Linked DNA regions of Oryctolagus cuniculus. The protein of the gene in region 1 interacts with the protein of each later gene in a pairwise test. Links are inferred from orthologs where the notes say so. Each region holds a gene or a part of one and is shown in the gene's direction. Other genes may lie near its edges. The genes, in order: LSMEM2 and LSMEM1.

Region 1 (3,271 bases):
GGAGAGCACGCCATGCCTGCAGCCCTCCCCGCCTCTGGCCCTGCGTGCTTCCCTGCTGAGCACAGCAAGGAGGATTAGGGGGAGCTGCCTGCTAGGGATAAGTCAACTGTGGGCTGTGCCCAAGTGGGTGTTGGCATCCGGGCAGCTGCCTGGCTATTAGCTTTCTTCAGGAAAGGAGAGAGGCTGGGGTTGGGGGTGGACATTAGTTCCAGGAAACATGTGGGCGCTTGGCCAGGACTGGGAAGCAGAGAGGCTTCTGGCCTCCTCCAACGTGGGCTTAAACATCCCCCACTAGTTCAGAGTTGGGGTCCCCTGGCCTATTCAGAGACCCTCAGCTAGTCAGCAGCCTGTTCCCACAATGCTTATGGGTCCACCACATCTCAGTGCTGGGCTCAGAGGGGCCACAGCAGTAGGGATCCAGGAAGCTACAGGAAAGTGCCTGGGTGTGTGGGGGGGCCTGCATAGGGCTCCCTGGCCCACAACTCTGCTTGGTGTGGCTGGCCAGCTCCTCTCACCACATTCTCAAGTCTGCACTGCAGGAGGGGAGCCTGGCCCTGGTAGTGCTGTTTGCTTTCATTTGGGGTCTTAATATTTACTGTGTGTTTTTCCTATAGCCGACTCCCCAGTAGGATTTAGAAAGCGTGGGAAAGCATAGCAAAGTGCAGAGAAGGAACTGTATGTCTCAGACCAGCATCCCGACAGAGTGACTAGCACCGCGTTTTTGTTTGACGTACTCCGGAGCAGGGCGAGGCGTAGTTTCGACCTGGTCGGGAGGGGTGAGTTACTGGCCTGAGCAGGACAGATCCAGAGCTCCCAAGGCTGTCCCTGCACACTCAGGAAGTGTCTGCCCACTTTATTAGCTACTTTCTAGGTGTGCATCTGGAGCTCTTAAAGGACCCAGATTTTAAAATTCAAGTCAACAGCCAGAAAAGAATGTAATTAAATTATTTAGAAATCACAAACTAGACTTCAATGCACCTGAACAATTAACATCACAAGGGAAGTACACAGACCTCAGGGACTACACAGGCCGAGGTGATGAATGGATCATCAAGATGTCTTTTCTTTTTCTCTCCCTCTCCCTCTCCCTCCCTCACACACACAGTGTGGTCACATTCCCTAGGCGAAGTTGTCCGATCAGACTGATGGAGGAAGGCTATTTCTAGTCTTCCAAATGAGCACATGTGCACATGCAAAATATTTCCTCAGTGGGGATGCTGAGTGGTGGTGATGTTGCACTCTGGAGGGCTGTGGACAGCTCCTGTGGAGGACAGTCTAATGAAAGGTTTCACACACACACACAGGAAAATCTTGCTCTTGGATCAGTGTTCCTCTTCTGTAACTGTCCTTAACTCTGGGGAAACAGAGGCGCCTGCACACTGAATGGTGGGTGTGAGGGGGTTGATTTCCAAACGGAACTGCAAACAACCTAGGGCCTAGGTAGCTGACAGGGATGCCTGGAGGGAGCTGAGGCCTAAGAACCAAGGGTCCTGCAGTGAAGTGGACCTAGCAGGCCTTGTGGAAGCAGAGCAGCATCACGGCGAGGCTGTTACTCGCTGGACCGAGGCCAGGGGAAAGGGCACCACCGTGGCTAGAATGGAGCTGCTTCCCAGAAGGTGCCGGGCACGGGGCCGCCTGATGGCTACCTCACAGGGTCTGCATGGACTGAGTCGGGATGAATTCTGCATGCGTGGATTGGTCCTGCAAGGCTGACCCACTGCTTGAAGGAGCAGGCACGGAGTACTTGAAGCCCCTTGTGTGGGAGCGGTGCACCTCCTGTCGCTGTGCAGAGCAGGTGACAGGGGTCTCTGGTGGTCCTGCATCTCAACCAAGGGTCGTTCCTCGATCAGTTTTAGGGGACGTAGAACCAAATGCCTTCCTATTCCCCATCTTCCCCAAGCCCCTGTGGCCTGAGGCCACCTGGGAGAAGGGAGGGGGTGAGCTACACCAGCTGAATCAACCTCACACTGCCCCTACAGACACTGTGGCATCAGTGCCAAGCCAGAGGAGCAGGGGGCCGCTGGCCCCCAACCACGTACAAGAGGTGCGCCTGCACCGAGTGGAGTCCATCAGTGACCTGGACAGCGGAGGTGAGGGGGCAGAGGCGTGGGCTGGAGGCACTGGGGGCAGGGAGGGAGCAAGGGCACTGCCCCCACCCCGGTGTCCTGTTCACCCCACAGGCTCACTGCACCCCTACCTGACTGAAGAGACTCGACCTTGGGACGAGCTGCTGGGTGTCTTGCCCCCGTCACTGTGTGCCCAGGCTGGCTGCGGCCCCGTGTGTGGCCGTGGGGGGTTCCTGCTGCTGCTGGCGCTGTTGGTCCTCACCTGCCTGGCGCTTGCCGTCCTGGCCGTCTACTTGAGCGGTATGTACGTGGAGCGGGAAGGTGGGGTGACAGTGGGGACCAGAGCGACTGCAGGTGCTGCAGCAATGAAGGGCGGGCCGGGCGGCCTGAGGCCTGCAGATCCCGACTCCCACTTGCCCATCCCCAGTGCTGCAGAGTGAATCCTTGCGTGTCCTGGCGCACACGCTGCGCACGCAGGAGGAGACGCTGCTCAGACTCCGCCTGGCCAGCCTCAGCCAGCTGCGGCGGCTCAACTCCAGCGAGGCCCAAGCGCCCAGCTGAGACACCACTTGGACCTGGGGCCTGGGTGTGTGTGGGGGGGAATAAAGCTGCCACTGGCAGGTGTTTGCCACGGTCAGCACGTCTACTTGAAGTCCTTGGTGAGATTTTATATACACAGGTTCCCGTGCCCCCCGACTTTCAGGCCAGGCCTGGCCATGCTTTCTGGTGCGTCCTGCTTGGGTGGCCCCAGGTCAGAGGAGGGGGCGCCAGCCTCCAGGGGGGATGTCTCTGCTGGCCTGTCAGTGTCCTCTGGCCACCCCCGGGTGGTTCCGAATTAGCTAGAATTAGCTGCCACTCTGCTGGGCCTCCCAGTGGGGGTCAAGCCTCGGCTCTCAGAGACGGTAGGAGCCGGGATCACCTGAGAAGACGCTGCCTGGCGGGGCAAAGGTGAGACTGGGGAGACTCCAAGCCCGGGGTATGGCTGGGCGTGAGGGCTGGCAAAAACACCCAGGAGTGAGGAGCATGGAAGCTGAGCATTCTTTTAATTATCTTGAATCATCTTTAAAAACAGCATACAGATTCAGTCCAGCTAGCCTTGCCTCCTTGCTGCCACCCCCCTAAGGAAGTGGGCCACCTCGGGGAGCAAGGCTTGAGAAAGGAAAGGGACAGTCCCCTTCTGCACAGGCCTCCTGAGACAGTGCAGG
Region 2 (2,693 bases), on another chromosome or scaffold:
GCCACCTTTCTCTCTTCCTGGGATGAGGGGCAGGTGCATGGTGTTTCTACCCCTTCTGCATGTTATGCCCACCGAGCCTGCCAGTTTTCTCACTGAACCCTGTACACAATCATGGGGAATTACTTTGATTTTTTTCTCCAGATCATTTAAGAGCAGAAGGAGTCTGAGGGGGAGAGTGCCGCTTTTGCTGGGTTGCATCATGCTGTCATTTCTTCTGCCCTTTCCTGCCTTCAAACATTCTGAAATTGTACTCATGTGGAGGGAGATTTCCTGGGGGAGAAATGATGTCACATGTTACAGATGACTTTAGCTCCACACTTTCCCCCAGAAGCAAGTATTTTTTCTGCATAGCACTGCAGCTGTGTCCAAGACTCATGTCTTGAACCATATTTTATCCAACATAATTTTTCTAACTTGAGCAAGACATAACTGTTGGGCATGTGAATCTTTCATGTTTGTTATCAACTTAGCCCAATAGCCAGCCTGTTATCAACATTATCAGCCTCTGAAAGATGCTTTCAAATAAACCTCAAAATGGAAATGATAAGGAGCTCAAATAGAAAGCAGTGATTTTGTTCTTAGTTCTTGGAAATTTTAACTCTGATAAACAGATCTCCTCCAAATGTTCCATTCCCTTGCTTAACTGTAATGCTGAGTATTGCTTGTTTGGAAAATATTGTGCCTCTTTGCTCAGGAGTGGTCTGAGGAGAATTATTACACATTCATTACAGGCTGGTAATTCAGAGCAAACAAATCAAAATAGGATGGAACTTGAAGAATGTCATTTACCCAATGATTGGGATAAATCATTTTCTGAGAATGGCTGTAGAAATGAGACAATGCCACAGTCACTTCTAGGGAGATAATCAGACATGCTGGCAATTTCTGTTGGCCACTCACAATGATCAATTTCTCAGCCAATGTCTGTGTGGAGCTGCCAATGGGACTCCAGGCTGGCATCATTAGGTTGTAAAGATTTTAGCTCCCTTAATAGACAGCTTCAGTCTTTTTTTATTATATTTTTTTTGACAGGCAGAGTGGACAGTGAGAGAGAGAGAGAGACAGAGAGAAAGGTCTTGCTTTGCCGTTTGTTCACCCTCCAATGGCCACCGCGGCAGGCGCGCTGCAGCTGGTGTACCACACTGATCTGATGGCAGGAGCCAGGTACTTATCCTGGTCTCCCATGGGGTGCAGGGCCCAAGCACTTGGGCCATCCTCCACTGCACTCCCTGGCCACAGCAGAGAGCTGGCCTGGAAGAGGGGCAACTGGGACAGAATCCGGCGCCCCGACTGGGACTAGAACCCGGTGTGCCGGCACCGCAAGGTGGAGGATTAGCCTAGTGAGCCGTGGTGCTGGCCGGCAGCTTCAGTCTTAACCAGTTTCTCTCCTGGCCTCCGGGACCCAGGGATTTGGGAACAGAGAATTGGTCAAGGGTGGCTTTCAGTGTTCAGCTGTGCACCAGTAGAACTCACTGGAAACCAGGGTAACACTGTTTTCCATTTTGAAGTCCAAACTGGAAACAGGATGGATGACGTGTCAAGACGACTAGTAGCTGAGGGAAAGGACATAGATGATCTGAAGAAAATCAACAACATGATCATAAAGCGACTCAACCTGCTGGATCCAGAACAGAACTGAAGAGATTTTGTGAGAGCAACTGCTAACACCTCAAGACTGAGCAAGTCATTTCTTCAAGGCAGCAGATTCTCTTAGCAGAGAGCCAGGCCTGTGCCAACCTGTGGCAAGCAGGGAAGGGAACAACTCCAAGGCAAACAGGATTGGGGAGAGCAGCTAGAAAGGGGGGTACTTCTCACAGTCTCACCTTCGGTAGGGTGCTTGAGACTTAACGGGGTGAAGAGTGGGTGGCTAGTGTGAAGGAAGATCCTGAGAAAACAGAATTGATCTGCATATGTACAATGTTCCTCACAAAAGGGGCATTGCCGCTGGGTTGAGTTCGCTGTGCCAGTTTGGTTCATTATGTCTCATGGAGCTTAGAAAATTCCTGCGAATGCCTAAAGAATTCATTGAGCTCTACTCAGTGTTGAAGAGAACCAGGTGGTCATTCTTTTCAATAAAGGTGCTTCTGCTCTGTGGCTGATTAGATGTTGACTTGTTTCTCTAGGGGCTGTGATGCGTGGGATTCAGAGCTGGTTTACCACCTGATACTTACTGGTGAAAACATGAGCAGTAGTTTTGTGGGTAGAGGTGGGACCAGGGGTCAAAAAGGAAAGACCAGGCTGTTAATTCAAGTGATGTTTACTGAGCTCCTAGTCTGTAAATCATCCTACAGGTGATCACATTCACATGTGGGACAAAGGAGATACATAGTTTTATAAATCCCTCAGCAGCCTACCAATTATTTTGGAAAAAAAAAATCTGACAGAATTGTGTTTGCTAAGCTATGGTATGAAATCCTGTGCTTGGAACATTTGGAACTTGCTTTGTTTTAGCACAAAAAACAAGGCACAAAATATATGACTGGGGTTTTTCAAATGAGGATATAGGACACAGGAATATCCATTTTAAGAGCATGCCGCCCAATAGCCTTGCATTCCTATTTTTATTTAGAGGCTACCAACAATTCTAAAAGCTAACAGGCACATAGGCAAGGTTATACATCAACTTAAGGTTTGGGAAAAAGAATTTGGTCTGGTGGTCTAAGATAGGAATTAGAGCTGTGTTATAAATCTTC

The links.
Region 2: the proteins of LSMEM2 (region 1) and LSMEM1 interact in binary tests that used the Homo sapiens proteins (3 or more experiments, as listed by UniProt). The two-hybrid records come from large-scale screens. The link is inferred for Oryctolagus cuniculus from reciprocal best matches to the Homo sapiens genes LSMEM2 and LSMEM1.

Annotation. Positions count from the first base shown.
Region 1 is NC_091441.1:99,046,690-99,049,960, reverse strand, and holds LSMEM2 (leucine-rich single-pass membrane protein 2), read left to right. Parts: upstream 1-1,529; 5' UTR 1,530-1,675; coding exon 1,676-2,090; intron 2,091-2,180; coding exon 2,181-2,366; coding exon of another isoform or gene 2,367-2,493; coding exon 2,494-2,627; 3' UTR 2,628-2,703; downstream 2,704-3,271.
Region 2 is NC_091434.1:131,179,311-131,182,003, reverse strand, and holds the end of LSMEM1 (leucine-rich single-pass membrane protein 1), read left to right. Parts: intron 1-1,508; coding exon 1,509-1,639; 3' UTR 1,640-2,102; downstream 2,103-2,693.